Linked DNA regions of Arabidopsis thaliana. The protein of the gene in region 1 interacts with the protein of each later gene in a pairwise test. Each region holds a gene or a part of one and is shown on either strand. Other genes may lie near its edges. The genes, in order: RR10, AT1G01300 and AT5G11090.

Region 1 (7,802 bases):
GATTACATGGCCCCACTGTGTCCACCGGTGCCACAAGTTGCTTATTTCATGAAGAACCCTAAAGATGCCAAAGGTGTTCTTGTGAGGATTGGCTTGGACCCACGAGATGTTAATGGCTTTTCAAATCATTTCCTTGATTGCTAATATATTAGCTGGTGATAATTAATTAATTAGTAGAATCTTTGTGGTAGTATACAGTATGATAATGGCTCCTCTATATGCATGCGTGTGCGCTAAAGACACTTTATTGTAATTGGGTTATGATGATGTATAATTTAATGACATCTCTCTGCTTTGTATTTGTTGTCGTTATCACTTTTATACTCATTTCGTGATAGGCTTTATTTTCTTCCAGAATTTCTGGATAAATAATTATAAAGTTATGTTTCTTTGTAGACTTTTTTCTTAAGGTCGCCAATGTTGGGTGGTTGACACCTAAGCCAGGTTATTGGGCATATGGGGCCGATTTAGGCTGGTAGTACAAATCATTGTACTACTTTGATTCTAACGTTATTTTGCACTTAGACACGAAGACTTTGACTTCCTCTTCAAAACACCTTTACATTTGTAGCAAAGAGGGTACTTTTTGAATTTTATTTATGGATTTGGATCTTCCTAAGTTGCTCAAACCAGTGGGGGAGCGGTAAACAATAGCTTACACTTTCATTACAGAGAAGAGAGAAGAGACAGAACCAAAAGATAATAATAATTGATTGTGTCTGAATAAAACAGGTTTCTCAAGCTGACAAAGAAAAGGGAAAATGGAGTTTCTCGTATGCATGTTCCGAGTGAGCTAAACCATCCAAATCCCAATCACCTTCCGAGAAATCAGATTGGCTCTGTTCCTGTTACAGTCAAAGTAACAAATCTTCAGAAATCTCCAAAAGAATAAGGTGCAAAAAGTAAATGGTTTTTATTGTATACAATACCTGTGTCATTAAGGAATTGACTATATCATCTAAGGAACCAGCATCAGAAGCCATCAAACCACTCTGAAGCTTCTGTTGTCCCATGAGTAAACCTTCGTTTGGATTGCTACTTCTAAACAGTTGAGCTTCTGTCACTGGACCTGAGTTGTTTGCAGGCTGCTGATTCATCTGTAATGGATAAAAGAAGTCTGTTTGTGCAGCATTTGTGGATCCAAAACCCGTGTTTCTGCAGAGAGATGCCGGATTTGTATCCAGGTTTGGGTTTACTAGCGGACTAGCTGAGTCGCAGAACGCATTCCATTCCAAGGTGTCAGGTTTTGAATGAACATCACTCTGTGGAATGTTGGTTGACAATGCAGCGTTTGACCAATGTTCTAGACGCTTGCTGATCTCGAAATGAGGAGAAAAACCCGGGTTTGAGGGTAAAGATGATGACTGCGGGTTACCCTCGAGAAGTAACAGATTACTGGGAGCTACCATTGGAGAGTTTTGTTGTGAAGTAAAGCTTGGAAAAGCCCTGTTGATGTTGTTGTTGATCTGAAGCTCTTCTAGCGGCAAACCCTGAAGTATGTTTCCTCCATCATTATGGTTACGAGGAAACGATGATGAGACTGGTTGGAACATTCCTGCTCCAAGGGAATTCAGACGACCAAGATTCCTATTTGAAGAGTAATGCCTCATCATTGTGGTTCCACCATGGAACTGACCGGATCCAACAGGTATTCCGCGGTGGTGGTGGTAGAAGCCACCAAGTCCTTTCTGAGAATTCATTTGCATAAAATGTGAGTCAATAGCCGCCCTGTTAGCTTGTTGAATGGCGTCATCAGACACCTTCTTCAGAGCAACGCGGAATTTCTGCAACCAAAAGACATTACAAATGTGTTTAATGGAATCATACATATATCAACACTAACAGATCAAATCTGAAGAATCATAGTCTAACTCTCACCTGAAGGTGGCTTGCAACATTCTCTCTAGTGAGTTTGTCAACATTCATCAGATCTAGAATCTTTTTTGGAACAGCTCCTGCATCATCAATACTTATAAATCAGAACATGATTCACAGCTAAATGAAAACTAGAGGTAGAGAGATCAAGAAACATTACTCTCAACGCCTAAATGATCAACAGCTGCTAGGAATTTATTGTGCAGCTCATGCGTCCAAAGAACACGAGGCTTCTTCTGCGCCGTTGGATCATCATTATCATTCCCTCTTTCTTCCTCTTCCTCCTCTTCATACTGTTCTTTACGTTTTCTGTTTGCTTTATCACAGTTTCCTGAACCATTACTCACATTGCTCTTATTCTTCTTAAGTTTGCTCTTTCTCACAACATGTTGCCATATGTTCTTAAGCTCCTCAATTCGAACCGGTTTAAGCAGATAATCACAGGCACCGTGCTTGACTCCTTTCATCACATACTTTGGATCGCTATGCGCAGATAACACTGCAAGAATTCAATCATCATGTTAAAGATTCAAACAGTCAAATCTGTCTAACGATCAAAACTTTCTCTAGGAACTATGAACTAGAACAAGGAGAGCTGCATACTTATGACAGGTAAGTCCATTTCAAGACCAACAAGCTCAAGCAGCTTGAAACCATCCATGTCTGGCATGTCGACATCGCTAATAACAAGATCAAACTTATTCTTGTTCTCCCTCAACAACTCCAATGCGGTCTGTGCCTGATTCGTTGTTGTAACTGCACATTACAATAATAATAATCACCCACAAAGTTTCAGTTTTGACTCATTCAAAAGTAGTAAAGCAAGAACCAATGGCTCTGTGACACATGGGGAGCAATCAAATATGTAATAATTCCCCAAAGTCTCAATTTTTACAGAACAAGAGACTGTTTCAAATCGAACGAACAAGAACCAATGACCTTTGAAACACAAGTGAAGCAACAAAATCTGAAGCATGGATTTTTAAAAGTAAAAAAATATGCAGAGAGTGAATCTAGCTAATATAGTCTTAATTGATTCTTCAAGCTCGTCTTCAAAAATATAAAAATCTAGAGAGGAATCGATTTATGGTGTTATGACAAGAAACGAATCTGATGTTAAATTTTGTAGCTTAACCAAATCCAAAATCTAGAAAACATCAAGAAATTTGGTATTAAAAAAAAACAAAGAGAGAGAGAGAGAAGGAACCAAACCGTGATATTGGCAGCGCTGAAGCAAAGTCTGGAGAATACGGAGACAAGTCTGGTCATCGTCAACAGCAAGAACTCTCATCCCAACCGGAAACTGGTCCAAGACTTCAATTTCTTGCTCCATAGTCATCGCCGTCAAAGATTATGAATTGAAGTAGAAGAACAAACAAAGTTCGGATTATTATTATTAGTAGAGAAAGAGACAAAAAGTTGTATGGCAGAGTAAAATTTTCTTCTTTGGCAAAAGAGAATCTAAGACTACATATGGTTTCTGAAAACTCTGTAATGATCTTCAAGACTGGCGAATTAACTCATTTATGGAATTCTCTTTTCAAATTTTAATCATTTCTGGTAAATTTTCTTTTTGACATAAGAAAAAAACAAAAAACATTTTCAGAGGAGAATCTCTGAGAAAATTCAGTGGAACCGATCGGTCATTTGAGCGTGATAATCACGCGCCACCTTTTTTAAATTAGTTTGGTTTCTTTTGACTGTGGGAATAATATTTTTTAGTTTAGTGATAATTAATTGAAAAGGAAAGAGGATCATAATATTTTTTTTTTTAAATGGATAAAAATGTGAAAGTGTTTATGTAAATGATTCTGCAGATCATGTAATTAATTTAGAGATATGTTTGTGATATTGTACCAAGTATTCAAGGCAGGAAAGAAGAATTTGAGTTATTACCATAACTTCAAAAAGAATTGAATACTTTCCTTAATCTGTGTCTTAAGGAATGGACAACTAAGTTGAGTATCTCATAAAACGGATTTACCATAAGAATTAGTGCAAATTATGGTATTATGATTTTAAAATATGTAAAAGAAAGAAAAAAAAAGACAGGCTTTAGTGAGAGCATGCATGGTGAAAGTTGGGAAGTGCGAGACACGCGTGACCGTGGTTCATGGCTTTTTCGCTTATCTCGTACAGGTTCTGAAAGATTTAGCAAAATTAAGTATCCCATAGTAACGACCAATAATGGCTAATGCCGATATTATTCAAACCTAAGACAAGACTATTTTTAACGTCAGAGAAAGACTTTTAAAATTGATGAAAAAAAAAAAAAAAAAAGACTTTTAAAATTTACACCATTACTTGGATAATTTTACACTCTTACCATATGAAATTAATTTTAGGAATATGTATAATCAAGAAACACATGTTACAATGGTTCACAATGTTTATAAAACTTTCAAGTCAACAAATTAAACTCATAGCACGATATTTATCACCGACCAAATGTATCGTACGCTCGAATTAAACTTTGAAGTCAACAAAGAAAACTGCTGTCACAAGTCTATTGTTACATGATATTAGTCATTGAATTTAGTTGTTAACTACAAATTATATATTATTTATTTATTTGATTGTCCGTTTAAATTTAGCAAAATACATTTATATAACTATGACAAGACAAAAAAAAGCCATAAAACAAAAGGCAAGAATTTCTTGAAGTTGGGTTCCATCCGCATCTTCAGCCTACAAGCTTGGTGGGTGCAAAATAAGATCCCAATGATTTTATTATAGTTTATGAATTAATTTTGTATGATTTCTTGGATTAACCACACAGCGTGTTCATTTCCGTGCCTCTCCTTTTCTTATAGAAAATAGCGTACTTCGGATCAATAATATGTTTTGGCTAGCTTATTAACATAAAAAAATAAAACATTATTACAATTATGCATCGTTTTTATTAATGTAAAATAGGTTATCAGTTAGTTTTGTTTTCCAAATTAGAATCATAAGGTTTAATAAAAGTATCACCAGCATAAGATTTACTAAAAAAAATGCAAGATCTAGAAAGAGATCCTAAATGACTTTTTGAATCTAGCCTAAGAACCTTCTACAAATCTACGATAATTTATTTAGTATATGAAGAAAATTAGAGAAAAGTTGTATTCTCATTGTCTTGTGACAAAGCCTTGATAAACCTAGAATAAAAGAATACAGAACTAGATTTTACGATTTTAAAAGAACATCAACATATGTTCGATGCAATGCATTGGAAAATAAAGGACAACTTTCTAATACAAATCATTATCATTAGCTCTTCCAATTTTATTTTATTTTGTGTGTGTGTATGTTAAATAGTTGCAGATGACATTAGAGAGATTAAAGAAATCAGTTTTCTAGAAGATCCATGTAAACATCAAATCTGTAAAGATTCTACTTCTTAATAAGTTATTGGAAGTCACTTGTCATTAGCTAATACCTACTGTCATTGGCTTATGGTCTCATATAGGATACACACATGTATATTAGTATATAGTATATATCTATTCACATTTAAATATGAGAAATTAACAGCAACACTTTGGTGTAATGTTTAATTTTAAGAAAAATAATTAAAGAGAAAGATGCTGATAAAAATAATAATAAAAAGAAAGAAAATAAGTAATAATAAAATGGAGGAGGAAAATCAAGATTAGCCAAAAATTGAGGTAATCTTGTCTCCCACAAGGGCTAACCACACCGGTCATAAAATATGCTTCTTGTTCGGTTGCTTCCTAATCACTTCCTACTCTATTACTCTTACTAGATTTTCCACATCTAAATAAAACTATGACATTTAAATGTCAACTCTAGAACGCCAGATAATAGCAGTTACTATTCCATATGGAGTAGTATATAGCAGTACTAATAAGTAATAACAATCATTTTCTTTTTCTTTCTTATTATTAAGTAATTATTAACTAACAGCTAGCTTTTCACGATGGATGATGATGTATATGATTAGTTCATCATGGCTCGTTTTAATTGATCGAACATTTTTTAATTGATGTATATGAAAGACTTTAATCTATTTTTCTTTCTTTGGCTCACACCAAAAGGGGTTAATTTTTTAATTAATAACCACACTAAAAGACACAGTTATTAAACATCCCGGTGGAGGGTTGGGCCCAAGTTCTATTGTTTATTACTCATCTAAGGCCCAATTGTACATTTTGTTTCAGATAAAAGTAACTAAAGCCAATATTACTACTTTTTTTTTTTGTCAATAAGCCAATATTACTACTTTTAACTGATAAAACAGTTTAATTAGAAGATGTGTAAACATCGAAATATTTCGTGTTTATTGTGAGATGAATGAATTTAGCTTTCTCAACCATTGAATGAGCTCAATCCTATCCTTATTCATCATATATTCATGCAAGAAAAAACAAAGCTCTGCGTCGATTCCTCTTACTCGTAAAAACTCCCGAATCGCTGTCTGAAAATCATACTTCAAATTCCTGCAAAGAAACAAAGATCACAAGGTTCAGTAGCTGAATTCAACTAGGCAATTTCCTTGACTGTATCAACAAATTCAAGACCAGTTAAATGCTACACTCTACATTTAAAGTGATTCAAGAAAGCAGAGAGATTAGTAGTAAGTACCCAAAATTAGGTCCCATGTAAGGCTGACCAGTGATTTTGTTGCGTCTAAGCTTGTAAAGCTTTCGAATTTCAATACGGTTAGGCCAGACGGAGCAAAGGAACTCGATCTCTTCACTTCCATCAACCTTGGAAATGTCAACAAGCAAGCTAATATGAAGACGGACATCGTGCCCTGAAGCATCTAAACCGGCTCTTGGAACATTCATAAACCCATCAAACATAGTTGCTTCCATTTTGATATCCTCATCTTCTCCAAACTTCCCTTTCATCACAATGCATTGCTCACCGGGACAATCCTCCACAGAGAACGATTTGAATTCAGTCGCTGGCTGCATTATAGTTTTAAGTGAAACAAAAACAAATCATCAGTATCTCTTCTCTTCCGATTTACTTGGATCTTGAACAAATAAAGTCTACTTCTTGATAAACAAATTGATTCAAATACAGTGATACTTGTCTCCCTCATCTATCTACTTCAACAGAACAACTGAATTACACAAATCCGAAATCTAGGACTAGCATAAACATTGATTCCAGCTGTCTAGATAGTGATTATAAACGAAATAGATGATACCTGATGCGGAGGAGCATAATCGGATTGATACTCGATCTCGTTTCTTATGATTCGAAGAATGTTGGACCGGAAGGGTGATTTAGCTGGCGATGTGGTGACGTCTCGTGATTGGTGATTTGGCAAGAGAGATTTGCATCGAACCCAAGAAATTAGGGTTCTTGAGGAATGAGAAGGAGAAATGCGTGATTTTTGAAGAGTACGGAGCAGAAGAGCCATCGATGTTCGTCGCCGACGTTTAGGGCTCTTCCGAGGTTTTCTCTGATTGGAAATTGAACTGAATCGAAATAGCAGAGCTCTTTGTGGGCTTTTTGGATGTCCAATAGTCCAATACAAATATTAATGGGCTTCCATGAATAAAACATTGTTTCTGAGTTTTTAAAGCCCAATTTTGCGTTTGTGTAAAAAGACAAATAGCCAATGAAAGTTGTTTAAGACCATGCATGAATCATGAATGTTGTCCATTTATTTCAACAAGAAACTATATTTTGAACATTAAAACAGTGGTGTTTAGATAGTAGTTGTCTCGGATGGGCTAGACAAGTTGTTTCGGCCGGGGTAAGGGTTAATCACTTCTTGAATTGGTTTGGTTTGGTTTGGTTCATGCATACAATACAACTAAGTTTCTTCTGATAAATAATAATTATTATTTCTGATCATTTTGATTAATAATGTTTTTTTATATACCGCATGAATGGTTTACTCCAAGCACGCAGGATTCCGAATCCAATCCGGCTTAGTTGTGTGTTATGTATTCATTGTACAATAG
Region 2 (7,616 bases), on another chromosome or scaffold:
TTCATCACGGACCTCCTCCTCCTTACCCTTCACCTCCGACAACTCCAAACTTGATGCAGCCAATGTCCTTTGTTTACCCTCCTCCTTACAGTCAATCAGTCCCCACAAGTACTTACCCTGTAACAAGCGGTCCTTTTCATCCCAATCAGTTCCCATGGCAGCTCAATGTGTCGGATTTTGTACCAAGAACGGTTTGGCCTGGATGCCATCCCGTTGAGTTTCCCCCACCGCACATGATCACCGAGCCAATAGCTGCAACTGTGTTAGAGCCAACTGTGATTCTGCCAACGGATATTGACACTTCAGGTGTAGAAGAAACCAAAGAAGGCACGCAAGATGTGGCAGTCGCCGATGAAGTTATGGATTCTGTTAACCATGTGAACAACGCAGTTGCACGCAGTGAAACGGAGAATGGAAACCGGAAATCTGAGGAAGGTGAGAAAACTTTCAGCATTTTGTTAAGAGGGAGGAGAAACAGGAAACAAACACTGAGAATGCCAATCAGTTTGCTTAACCGGCCTTATGATTCTCAACCGTTCAAGCTTGGCTATAGCAGAGTTATCAGAGACAGCGAGGCTCCAAAGTCTGTAGCTTGAAACACTCTCCAAAGATTGAGCTAATTCGATGAAATGCAAACTCACACACACATCTCTGATATTTGCTGTTTCATAGGGACAATATAAAGGTTAGCTTCTCTAAACTCTTAAACTAAATCTTCAAAGACATGTATACACTTGTATTTATTTTAACTTGTTGATCTCTAATTGGCAGGTAGTTTCATTCACAGTCATGGGAAACTGAGGCTTGTGATAGCCTCGAAATGAAGTTACAATGTTTTGGATTTTGACCGGAAAGGTTGTGCAGAGGTGAGAAAAAGCCAAGCCATTCTTTTGTTTACCAAGTGAGGTGATATAACATTTTTCTGGGGTTTTTCTTTTAATTCAGCCAATAAAACGTAGGAAATTTTGGACATAATTTTTTCTTTTATGGTTCTTCATGTTTAAACATTAGTTTTCACGTAATTTACTTGCGTATTTCTCATCGATTACATCAATTCTAACGATTCACTATATAAAATGTCGAAATTATAAACTTGTTTAATGAATCAGTTATTAGATGATCGTTCCACTGAATAAAAACCCAAGGTTAAGTTTCATCCAAAAAAAGTTTGAGAGAAGAAAAAAAAATTAGTAACTAAAAGTGGATTGTGACACCGCCGTGTCCTCCACTCTCAAGCCATTCCTCCGATCACCGCCGGTGGATCATCCCGGGCAAGACCAATCTGATCATCATAACTTCCAAACGGATTTTCACCTTCGTAATTTCCCGGTGGGTTATAAACACAAATCGCATAAACGCCGCCGTTCGAACAATCCACACTTGCGCATCCGACCTTGGTACTATCTCTCCACACGATCTGCGTGTAGTGCCCACACATGTGTTGCGGCTCACACGTGTTACCTTTCACGTCGTAGAATTTATCCTCATCGGCCCACACATTAACAATATCTCTGGGGCTCCAGTTATTCTTTCCGGCCCAAAATATGTTTTCTCCATACGGCCCGTTAGAGTGAACAAGCCTACAATCACCCACGCGCTGATTCGCCCACGTGCGCGCGTACGCCGCTAATCTTCCGTCCCATTGAAACGGTGGTTCTCCCACGCGCGCTCTTACGAGGTTATGTGCGATTAAAAACTCTCTGCTCGCTCTGTTGACTCTGTTACGACGTCGTATTCTCCTCCACCTGAACCTGAACGAGAATCGGTTTCCGGTGAACGAAGGTGGTGACAACAGAAGCCGAGTACTCGTCGCTGACGGAGAGTTTTTAACGGAGGGTTTTGTGGAAGAGTCTTCATGGTTAATTTGGGCCGTTCCCGACCAAAGCTGAAGGAGGAAGAACGTTATGCCGACGAAGATATGTAATGGAGCTCGTATTTTCCGTTTACGAAGCTCCATTACAAAAAAACAAAACAAAGGATCAAGTTTAATCGGAGAGTTAATTACGTTAATTGTAGGTGAAAAGTGTAATTAACTCTAAAATGCAAAATTGTGAGTGGAAACTAATTAATAGAAAGTCAAATGCATGGTGAATATTGAAGATCGGAACACCATTCTAAATCAATTCAAGAATGTAGTAAACCCACCTACAATTAGGCAATACTTAAATTGTAAATCAAAACCAACCCAAATTATATTTGAATTATATGCTATACTCAAATTTAAACAACAACATAACAAGAACATGTAGCTCAAGTTTATCATTATTAATAATCGAAATAATAGCGAATCTGCATGTCTCAAAAAGAAGAAGAATAAAGAAAATTAAAGAGCACGTCTAGGCTTTCTCTTAATTTTCTGGTTAAAGTTCCAAACTTTCAAGAAATTGGGATAATGGTTCTTGATTAAATCAATAGGCTTCTTTAAAATGGACTCGATTGACACACCACTTGGTATATTCTCAATCTTCATGTACATAGGAGCTCTTGGATCATTAAGAGCTATACACCATTCACTGAACACATTCGTATTCAAAGACAGAAGCTTTCTCACACAAAATCCTCCTTTTAACGACAATCCCATCTCCACTGGTTTATAATTCCCAACCGCATTTCTTATTCCTCCGGCTATATTCCCGATGGAATCTCCGACTTTCTTCCACCATGGCTTCGCCTCCGTCTTCTCTCCGGCGGTCACCAAGAGGATGACTAGGAGGAAGATGGTCGGAGACACGCTTCTTGGCTTTCCCATGGTTTTTGATGAGGTTTTGTGTGTAGATTTATAAACTATTTTATTGAGGGTTATATAAAGTAATGGAAAATATAGGTGTGTTACGTTAAGATGTTATATTCATTAATGTTTTATACTTTCTAACATCTTTTCATTAAATTTCAAGTGTTGTTTTTCGTTACTTGTATATCCGCAAATGTTGAACTTGACAAGTGTTCTCAGTTTCTGCTAAGATATCTCATGTTTAGCCAACTATGCAAAACATAGTACAGGTTGAGTGAGAGGGTTTTAAACTCATAACGAATGAACTAAGTAACATATGAAGACTCTAAGCTCAAGTTAACACGTATTCAATGTAATTAGGTGATAAAGTAGATTATTAAACCAATAAAGTGCTTGAAAATAAACAAGGAAAAAAATGAAGTAATCAGTGCATGCAGGAGTATGTAATAGGAGCACTGTCTCTATCTTCGCGCTGAATCTTCGTTTTTGTCTGATTAACAACTCCAACACAATTTTTCATCTGCCCTATGTATTACGTAAACAGTAATTTACCAAAATCTATCTTAATTTATACTATTATAGACGTACTCTACCATCCTCAGATAATCAGATTTGTCTGACTTGGAAATTATATTGAATAATCTTTGATCTAACTAATTTCCGCAGTTGTCATTTGTTGGATAACTAAAAGTAAAATTGCCAATTTTTTAGAAAATCATACACGCTCTCTTTGGTCCGAGATGTAAAATAAAGACGATACTAATAATACAGCCGACAACACGTGAAGATTTTATCAACACGTATTCAACTCCACCGCTTAAAGATTCACTTGTCCGATTTATAAAAAAAAAAAAAACAAGTCTAAGCATTAAATTGAGAAAACAAAAGTACATTATCCGTACCGGCTCCGGTCAGATCTAATTATTAAGCGCATCCTCCTGGAGCAAACCCGACCCGGGAACTCGCTAAGTCGTATACAACCCGGAAACCCTGTTGCTGGATATTCCCAATTATGGATAGTCCGCCCATCGTACCGGCAAACGCAAAACAGAACTTGCCGTTGGTATCCACAGGGATCAGGTAATTCGTCGCCGGAAGTGATACGTCAGCTCCACGGAAATGTAAAACCACCGTCGGTACTTTAACCTCGTTCATATTGGAGAGATCGAAACACGTGTCGAAGAGTGAGAAATCCGGAGCTCTTTTCAATGTCTTAGCTCCGACCCGGAACGCGTCTCTCATAGCAATATAAGCTGGTCGGATCAACCGGGTCACAGACGTACCCGAATCGATAATAACTCCACCGTTACCGATCTGGTCAAGTTTAAAAAGAGAAGCCGTTACGCCGGGGACACGTGTCCCTCCGACGCTAATTCCCAGAAGCCCGACGTAGTAGAAAGTGTCGAGTTTTGGGTTTGACAAAAGTGGCGTGAATCTCGCGATTCGTGATACGGCGGCGTTTCCGAAGACGACCGAGGAAGGTTTCGAAGAAGCGGATCTGTCGACTAAACAGTAAGAGAATTTCTGATTAAACCGGTGACCGGTTTGACCGGGGAACGATAATTTACCTTTACCGAGTCCTAATAAACCGGCGGCTCCGACGAAGAGACCTTCGTTGTCGTGGCCACATCCGAGAGCAACGCCTTTAACGCGATTTCGCCGGAAAGTTAGCGTTTCGGTGGAGAAATCGCCGACGGTGAAAGAACCATCTCCGTAAGAGACTTGGTAGAGACAAGTCTTACGACGGGTGTTGCATCCGGCGGAGTCTAATCGGCGGCAGTGAGGTGAAGAACAGGGGATTGTGGCATAGGTCTTGGATTTTCTCGGGTCGAATATCGGGTCGGATTGAGAGTAGCATCTCCGACAAGGAGCGCATTGTAGCCAGACGATGTCGCTGCCGGTGTCGAGCACCATGTAAACATATCTCGCCGGAGTGCCGACACCGAGGCGCGTGAAGTATTCACCGCTTCCTTGAGAGAGACCAGAGACGACTGAGCTGCTGAATCCACCGGGTCGTGGCGCGTGAGTCACGTTTCTTCCGGGGATTTGAGCGGCGAGTGTGGCGATAGATTTCACGCGCCGGGAGTCACGTTGGAGACGGGAGCTGAATAGCTCGTCGGGTGTTTTGTTGGAGGAGAGAGCATCGATGTGGTCGAGGTTTAGAGTAATGGAAGAAGAAGACTCGGAGTCGGATCCGGATTCAAATTCGGATTCTAGCAGTGACTCGGAGTCGGAGTCGGGTTGGAATGAGACGGGAGAAGCACAAGGAAGGGAATGAGAATTGGGGAATAGGGTTTGGAAGGATGGAAGGGAAGAGAAGGAAGGAAGAGAGAGGAAGAAGAAACAGAGAGAAAAGAGTAAAGCTTTTCTTCTTCCTACCATCTTTTTTTTTCGTTTTCTCGAGGAAAGTGGCGAGTGAGACTGTTCTCTTCTCTGTGTATATAATAAACAAGTAAGCGGTCTTTTTGAAAATTTAATTTTCTTTCAATTCCTATAATAATAATAATAAATGTTTGAATTATACTTTTACTCTGGGAATACAAATATCTAATAAGATTGTGGGAATGCAAAAGCGACATTTTAGATTCGGTGGATAACAGACACTTAAGAAATATGCAAGTGGTGTGGTAGCTTCTTTTTCTTTCTTTTTTTACGTCATGAAATAATTTGCTTATTTTAACTATAATTATTTTGTGAAAAGTGAAAAGCTCGTTTTATATACTACTAGTAGTTAATTAATGATGCCCAATAATTTCCCCACAATTGGTGGCACATTTTCGCTCTTGAGATAACACAAACTGAAACATTCCACATGGGGGAAAATATACATGCAAATACATGACGAAAGATAATCTAATACACTACGTTGTTAAATAAGTACTTATTTTATTCATGTATACATTACAAACAATGCATCACGGTCTTCTTTTTACATTTTAAACCAAAAAAACGTTGCTACGACTTTTTTATCTTATTACTAAATCATCACGACGACCTTTAGATCTCACGATCTTGTTAGAATGTCGATATCATCAAACGCTCTTTTCATTTATTCGCCCACAAGAATTCGAAATAATGACCATCAAGATTTGGAACTTTCATATTCAATGCTTCGATATGTTAACATCTACTATAGTATATTACATCATAAAACATGAATAATTGAATATAGTGACCCTCTTCTTTATGGGGTACAAGTACTAAATTTTGTGATATTGGTATGTGTGACCACCAATTTAATGCTGTCACCAATCTCTCTCTTCCCACTGTTTAAAGAATGTGGACATAATAATTTGAATAAGTCTCAACACTAAATCATGACTTTTCAGTCTTCACAGTTGCAAGCATTCATTTTTTTTCTATCAAACACGTTCGCTTCATAAACACGTACCCAACTTTACAATTAAAGAAATCCGTACTTGACCGGTTGGTTCGTTGACAGGATCTTTTCTCAGCCGGTTTTACTGGTTCGGACAAGCCATAGTGCTACACGTAGTTCCAATTTGATTAATGATTAGTACATTGGTAAGAAATCAGACGGAGAGATCTCGAAATGGAGTATTTGATTAGAGGAGACAAGAAAGCAAAAGCTACAAGAAAGAATGAAAAAAAGAGACTTTGGCCAGTAGAGACAGCCTAGCACACTTTCTAGCTTTCTCTGCTTTAGTATATGTTTAGTGCTCACTCATCATTCCAAGGTCGTAACATGAACCATATGCATACAAAAAGATTCACAAATCGACATGATAACCTATATACCTATACATATAAACACTATGTTATCTGACCCTTTTAATAGTGTTGTGATGATCTAATTATAACAAGATTCAAGAGAGATGTTATGTGTGTTCTTACACATAACCCATTGCAAGAATAAATACTAAAAAGAACAAACTTGGTAGTTTCAATCCGCTCTTAAGCATCAATAGGTAATATTTCACCTTTGTTCTTAGAGAGTACCCAAACTAAAACAGCAGAAGCAACAAATTGTGAGCAAAACTATAGTGTCTTTCACAGTGCCTAATTGACTAATCGAGATTCAAAAGTTTCCATCTTTCCATATAAGAGATATCACCCAAGCATCCAAATAAGATAAAGAAAGCTAACCTTTATAGCAACAGAGGCAAATGTTGAATGTGTTCAGTCCCCTCTAGAGTCTAGACCAAGACCCGCTCTTTCCACCAGTTTTACGCTCGAGCCTCACGTCTGTAATACTGATATCTTTGGAAGCAGCCTTACACATATCGTAAACAGTCAAACCAGCAACTGATACAGCAGTCATAGCTTCCATCTCAACTCCGGTTTTTCCAGTGCAAGAAGCTTCTCCTTCAATGTCAACACTAAAATCCTCAGGGTTTAGTCGTAAGTCTACACGAACATGCGTAAGAGCAATGTTATGACACAATGGTATTAAGCTGCTGGTTTGTTTTGCTCCGTTGATCCCAGCTATTTTCGCCACTCCAAGAACATCTCCTTTCCCCATTTGATTCGCTAAGACCAAATCAAATACTCGTTTCCCAAGAATAACTTTACAACAGGCCAATGCAGTTCTCTTGGAATTGTCCTTAGAAGAAACATCCACCATTTGAGCTTCCCCTGCGATACCAACATGTGTTAGCTTAGACATATCACTAGCCACTTTTGCATATTGTTCTATAGCTTGCGAATCATTCTTGCTCGAGTGTGTAGATTTATGATACTCAATTTGTTGTCTAAAATCAATATTCTTCGATCTCAAAGGTTCGATTTTGGATGATTTCAACTCAGAGAAATCCATTGTCCCAGGACCATCGGGAGAAGGTTCTTGTCCAAAGATTGACTGCATCTCCTGAAACACCAATTCAAATGTTTTTGGTAGAATCAAGATCACTGATTTAACATCAAT
Region 3 (6,845 bases), on another chromosome or scaffold:
AGTCAGAAGTAACGCTTAGGAATAATTAAAACTAAATTAATCAGCCATCAAGATAGGTGTATTACTTAATACTAATTATGCTACGTATCTCTGCAAATCTATTTAATTATGGTACAAGCCTTCTGTTAAATTTTAAACTCATGGAAAGATTCTAAATTAACGAGATGAAATCTTTAATTAAACACCTCTTAAACAGTATCTCCCTTAATTATGGAAGATGATTCCTTACTTTATTCTGATTTTATTCTGTTCTCAAATCTTAACAAGTTTGGTTTCCACCTCACCTAAATCCGCCTTCACGCGTAAATTTTGTTTTTTTGATACACATTCATTGTTCTACGTTTTGCAAAAAATAGTGATAATAATTGCGAATATAATATTCCATGTATATCTCTTCTTAATATTTTTCCTTTTAGGCAAGTAGTCGCCGACCTCATATGATATCACTATGAATTGAACCATAACTATGAAAAGGTATAAAAGAAATATCTAAGTGATATAATAAAACAATAATGTAACAATATGATGGTGGCATATACTCTTCCAGGTAAGGAAGACGTGTATCCCATCTTTCATTCCACTTTTTCCTCTTTATAAATTGGACGATCCCTCTATTTCACCATTTATTCCTCTTATTCTTTAGGTACAATTTATTGCTAGAATTTTTACAAAAATATTAGTCGACCAATGATGTCATGCTGATATTGAATAGGTGGAAAATCATTAAGTTTTTCAACTACCATTCTTAAATTTACAATAATTTCAAGTACTTGAGGTGGAGACGACTCATAACGAAACATGTATGACTGTATGAGTATGACATTGGAAACTATTGGTCACAAGAGCCATTTTCCACTTCTTCCCTTTTCGAGAGCCGCTAAACAGAAGAAGAAACAACAGTTTGCAAAACTATAGTCAATAGTGTTTCACTCGGTTAGTATCAGTTGGTTGTAGGAACATACCAAAGCGGAATGAAGTTAAACCGATCAAACCCGAGGGGATACGTCAATCAGAAAAGATCACAAGTCCGGTCCAACCTTTGTGGTCGCCAACACATTCTATTCATCACTAGCCGACTTCTTCTAAGTTCTGACAATAGAAAACCCTTTTAAATTCTACAAATAAACCTAAACTAATCCACGTACAACATATTACAATGTGGGGCATCATCATTCATCGTCAAGTTTACGCAGTTTTAGCTTTTCGATGAGTTTCATTTTTTTAAACTTAAAACATCAAACTTTGTTTAATAAATTCAAAGAAGATTTCTTGAATTAATTATAAATTATTTTTAAAAAGTATATCATGGACGCAGAGGAATATGATCGAATATAACAAAATCTTCCAGATCAGTAAGACGTGTCTTTCCACATTCATAGCCTTCCTCTTTTCTTCTTTCAAACATTCCAAGTTTTACTCCTTCATGAATCCAAAAGATTCCCAATTCCATTAATAATATATTCATATGTATTCTTTTCCATCTGCTCCCTAATATATTCCATATGTTCAGTCATTTTTCTAATTGGGTCAGTCAGCTATCTCTTTTACCAAAACACTTTTTTTCCATTTCCCTCCTATGTAAATTTTGTCTTCAGTCATGTTTTTCCCTCCATAGATTTTTCGTTGTTTTTTTATATATGTCCAGAAAGTGAAGACCTTTTCCACCTCTTTTGTTTTTGTTTTTAATGTATTTTTCTACTAATTTATTTTGTTTTTCTCTCAATTCCATCTGAATTTTCATGTCCCTGTTAGTCAAGTAGTTCAAACTCCATCACCAAACGCAACCTGCAAAACAAAAACAAAATTCAAAATGTCCACGAAAATATAACTACAAAAAAATGTAAGTAACATAAAACGGAAAAAAAAAAAAAACGAATGGAACATACCTGACACGACGAATAACGCATACCTGGAAAACTAACGCAACGCTTCACGGTAGAAACGACGACGGATAATGGCAAACAACGCCGGTCAACGGAGTACACGAACGTTGACTTGACGGGACACGAAAAAAAAAACGCTAATCTGACAAACACATACACAATTGATTGTGAGGAATGAGAAATCTCACTTTGTTCAATACAGAAATTAGATTCAGTTCTTTGATTTTCGATTTTAGGTCTCTAATTTTTGGTGAGACTCCGAACATTTTTTTTTTTTTGGGGTTCGACAAAGACGCAAGAGAGAGCAACAAAAACAGTAAAAAAGAGAACGTATGTACAATGCATTCTAGCATCTTCTTTCACCCAACAACAAAAAAATTATGATAGGTGTGTGTTTCTTCCTTTTACAAAATCTCGATTTCTCGAGGATGATTCTTCTTCGCAGACCTCAGCTTCATAACAAGACTTCTTCGCCGGATCTACTAAATCCTGTGGTGGTTTTCGTTTAAAGAGAGAAGAACAACAAACAAAACAAACCTGAATTAACCAAAATCCAGATCAAAATCAATTCTCATCAGCTTTCGCCATGATTGAGAGTCGACTAGGACGTGGCTGATAAGCAGCTCGTCTTTTCAGATGATGCGAAGAAGGTCGAATCAAAGTAGTCAAAGCTCTTCTCACCCACTCTCCTTCAACACCACCAATTCTCACCAGCGAATTAGTCATCGCAGATCGACGCATATTCAATCCATTCGTTGTATACGAAGCTGTACCTTGACCATGTGGATTCGCTACGTTCTTATGTAGACTGCATCTGAAAGATCCTGGATGCGTCGTCGGAGAACACATACATCTCCTTGAGATCTTGTGATTATGGCTCGGTGGCTGATTCTTCGAAACGGAGATCGATTTGTTAGTCGGAGATATAGATCTGCTATCGAGAGAGTAACGAAACGACTGAGACATCGGTTGCGCTGTGTAGAGATTCACACGAGTCGGTGACGCAGATCGGTGGTGACTGTGATTGCTCTCGTGATGACGGTGATTGCTGAAAAAAGCTGACGACGGAGATGAAAAGCTAGAACTCGTTGATGAAGCGAAAGCTGATGAAGAAGATGACGGAACGGCTCTTGAGTAACCACCGCAAAATCGACCTGACGGTGATTGTGAACGAAGCACCGGTCCGTTTGACTTGGTTCGTGACGATGTAGTCACCATTTTTTTCTTCTATGAAAGTCAAATTTGTGAGAGAGGAAGAAGAAGAGAAGAACAAGGTTTTTTTTTTTTTTTTTTGATTAGCTGCTCTGTAGAAAGTGCCTAAGGGAGGTTGGTTCGGCAAACCTAGCGAGTCTCAGGAACCGAATTTATAGCAAAAGCTTGTTCAATGGCAATAAATGTAAATACGTTCAAAGACTTTGACCATTTTCGAAATTTAGGTATTTCTATGTCGGGTTAGTCAAATTTAACCATGGTTAATGAAACTTAACTATGGTTAGCAAAATAAATTACTAATTTGTTTTTCAATTTGAGGCGGTTTTGCCGTTTCGAAAAGAATCGGGTTCGGATCCAACGGCTGAGATGACAAATCAGAGGGAATGCTTTTGGGGGCAGTTAAAAAAGCTGCCACGTGTCATGACTAAGAAAGATGTCAGCTCTTAAGTAGGAGAGTACCCAGAGAAAGTTTAGATAATTACGTAAATTGCCATTGCCCGTTGTTTTGCCAAGAGCCGGATTTACATTTCCAATGGTTTTATTTTGTTTGTTTTATCGTCACAACCCAATGGTTCTGTAACGGTATTGATTCAGATTAATAAGATTATACAAAAGTTTAGCATCTAACAACATTTGTGTAAATTTAGGCTATCTAAAGAAGGCTTCGAATAAATCAGTCTTATGTATAGTGTATTCTAGAGTAAAACATTTTTGCCAACATAAAATAGTTTTAATAAATGTAAGAGAGTTCAATACTAATAAATTAGTGAGCTAAAATCACATATGTCAAACCATTCAAAAGTCTACCAAATAAATATGACTTTATATTGGGTTTATAAAATAATTTTAATAGCAATTTGAAGATTTGTGTCATATTTATTTGGTAGACTTTGAATAGTTTTATAAACATATTTTAAATAATTAAATTTGGTTTATAAAATAAATTTAATAGCAATTTGAAGATTTATGACTTTTAGTAATTTTAGATTTTGTAGTAGATATTAAAAGCTTACATTGATCAAATTTAGCACTCTATTGTTCTTGTTTTTTTTTTGTCTGAAACATGCCTTTGGTCTACGTATATAGTCTCTTAACATCAAATATTAATTACTAATTATTATTTTTTTATAATAAATATCAAAATTAGTTTTTTTTTTTTTTGGGTTCATCAATACTAGTTGCTAATACCCAACAACATCAATATAGAAATCTTATAACATGAAGGTAACATATAAAGTTACATCTATGATCTAACTGACACCATCATTAAAAGTACCTACGTTTGCTGGTTTGTTTCCTTTCAAGATGGTTTAATGCTAGAAGAAGAAATAACAGCTCACTACCAAATAAAAAAGGGCCAAAGAGAGAGGACTTGATATAGCTAGTTTTTTGGAAGGCAATGCCAATCGTTAATTCGTAACACTTTAAGAATTTCGTATTATGATCATAATTAGTCAAGAGTTACTCAACACGTAACACTTAACATATTTCAACAACTTTTCACCTTAAACCTACTGGTGAGTTAGCCAAACTCTTGAATGGGCTTAAAAGCAATGTAACAACAACAACGAATCTAGCATTTGGTATAAAGTTGTTACGGTGGAGGAGATCCATGCAACTGTGTTTCATATTAGACCTAAAGAGTCCCTACAAATTGATGGAACTACTGACTCGAACACTATTCTGATGTATTAGAACATTTATATGCTATCTTAAAGGTATAACAGCTTCTCTGCAGAAGGAATTTGGTGATGAACTCAACCATAGTAATAATATATGTCTTATTCCAATGCGTCCTTAACCGCAAAATACAAAATATGCTTAGACAGATTATTGCCAGTAATAGTTTTGGTGCAGAATATCAATTTTAAGAATTTGATGGATACATTTCAGAGAGTTCTTACCAACTAAACCTTTAAACACGGTTTCTACAGATATTAAACGTTTGACGGTCAGAAACGACCTATATTTTGTCTAATTTGATTAAATATTTAAGAGAGAATTATGATTGAGATTATTAATAAGGTCTGATCTACTCGTTTCACATTTTGTCTAAATTGGTCTTGACAGAATCCATATTTTGTGTGTAATTAATTCTTAGTAGCACCTATCAAACGTTAATACCACTAAAATAGTATTATACCTGATAAAAACTAAAAGAAAGTAAAACTAATATTAGACATTAGTATATGATTAGGTGGGTACGACGATTGTAAACAGTTGATTTAGACGAATCTAGGCAATAAATATAATTGAAAATAGTAGTAGATCACAATGATGCGGGGCACATGGAGGTCGTGTTGGGTAAGTTAGGGACAAAACAGTTATTTTTGTATGGTCGGGACACACAATGTGATAAAGCAATAGGCTACAACACTCACACCACCACGTCCACATTACTACGACACGTATAGATTTATGTCACACGTGTCCAGGCTTCTACTAGCATCATAACAATCCAAGAGCCAAAAGTGTTTAACTGGTGATCCAATGTCTGACACTGGATTTAGAGTGGAAGTTGGATTTATTTAACATGGTCATGGTCATGGCCTGGTCGTGGTCATGTGATTATTCGTTCTTATTACAATCCAAAAGTCCACTAGTAATCATCTGGACTCACCTTTATTTGGTGAAAGTCCCTTCGGGGACATCCGATAAAAAAATTATTCGGTGAAAACAAATATTTGTTCCAAATCTTTTTTTACAAGGAAACTCTTTTACTCTAGTGGCGATAAGATCATAAGAGTAATTTCACACAAAAAAATAGATCAAGAGTAATCTTCTGTATCTATTTTTATCAGCATTTGTTAAGTTGATATCTTTTTTGGCGAGTATAAAGCGTGTTACAATCTTCTTCATTATATGTCCGATATCTCATGCACGATATAAAAAGGTGCTTCGAGAATGTAAAACTGAATAGAGAGGGCTCGATGCCTATGGAGTATAGTAATTGGTAAATAGTAAATTGTAAGGAATATTTAATTTGACTCGAGTTTGAGAATCATATTACAAAGGATATGATGCTTTATTTCTCTCTCTGATATTTTCATTTTATTAAAGTGGTTGTAGCAATGATGTTGTACTAGCATCCAATATTATAATGTACAGATTTCAATAATTATGATATTATGCTGATTTGCCATTTTTTCTTCTTCATTTCGACATCTGTTTGTATATTTGGTTAATCAATAACCATCCACTAAAAGAGACATTTGAATATCTTAGTATTATCTGGTGCACAAAAAAAAATAAAAATCTTAGTATTATCTAAACAATCCAGAAACTAACGATCTTAAAAACCTTATTTACCAAAAATGGTATTCTTTTTTTTTTTTTTTTTTTGGTTGTAAAGGATTCAATCATATCAATATTAACTCTTCTATCTTAAAATTGAAGAAGTATCGTGATTTCTTAGTGTTATCTTAGCTTTAACTTTTAACCGTTTACCTTCATGCAAGTATTGATTTAGCTACTGGTAAGTGGTAACCCGTTGCATCTTATTGTAGTATTGTGTATATATATATATGATCGAAAAACATGACATCCACCGAGAATGCATCCACTCCAGACTTAAACACATGTTACACTAAAATGGTGTTACTCGTAGAAAAACCAAGGAATATAGCTAAAAAGAGTTCACCAGTTCTTTATAGATGAACTTTCTTTTACTATTACTTTTTTTTTCTTCATATTTCTGCTTTACTTTCATTTTATTTAGTGAAATAAGTATAACTATTTTTATTTTATTTA

The links.
Region 2: the proteins of RR10 (region 1) and AT1G01300 interact in a two-hybrid assay, tested with the Arabidopsis thaliana proteins (one large-scale study listed by BioGRID).
Region 3: the proteins of RR10 (region 1) and AT5G11090 interact in a two-hybrid assay, tested with the Arabidopsis thaliana proteins (one large-scale study listed by BioGRID).

What each region holds. Positions count from the first base shown.
Region 1 is NC_003075.7:15,443,553-15,451,354, forward strand, and holds RR10 (response regulator 10), read right to left. Parts: upstream 3,491-7,802; 5' UTR 3,215-3,490; coding exon 3,088-3,214; intron 2,632-3,087; coding exon 2,479-2,631; intron 2,375-2,478; coding exon 2,036-2,374; intron 1,956-2,035; coding exon 1,879-1,955; intron 1,785-1,878; coding exon 930-1,784; intron 846-929; coding exon 738-845; 3' UTR 501-737; downstream 1-500. Other genes in the region: BAT1 (HXXXD-type acyl-transferase family protein), read left to right, coding at 1-144; AT4G31930 (Mitochondrial glycoprotein family protein), read right to left, coding at 6,158-6,317, 6,463-6,791, 7,037-7,252. UniProt on the Arabidopsis thaliana protein: Transcriptional activator that binds specifically to the DNA sequence 5'-[AG]GATT-3'. Functions as a response regulator involved in His-to-Asp phosphorelay signal transduction system.
Region 2 is NC_003070.9:114,562-122,177, reverse strand, and holds AT1G01300 (Eukaryotic aspartyl protease family protein), read right to left. Parts: upstream 5,395-7,616; 5' UTR 5,114-5,394; coding exon 3,656-5,113; 3' UTR 3,333-3,655; downstream 1-3,332. Other genes in the region: AT1G01320 (Tetratricopeptide repeat (TPR)-like superfamily protein), read left to right, coding at 1-596; AT1G01310 (CAP (Cysteine-rich secretory proteins, Antigen 5, and Pathogenesis-related 1 protein) superfamily protein), read right to left, coding at 1,232-1,957; AT1G01305 (uncharacterized protein), read right to left, coding at 2,324-2,749; CNX3 (cofactor of nitrate reductase and xanthine dehydrogenase 3), read right to left, coding at 6,882-7,559. UniProt on the Arabidopsis thaliana protein: Aspartyl protease. Not able to cleave BAG6.
Region 3 is NC_003076.8:3,521,052-3,527,896, reverse strand, and holds AT5G11090 (serine-rich protein-like protein), read right to left. Parts: upstream 3,221-6,845; 5' UTR 3,102-3,220; coding exon 2,448-3,101; 3' UTR 2,051-2,447; downstream 1-2,050.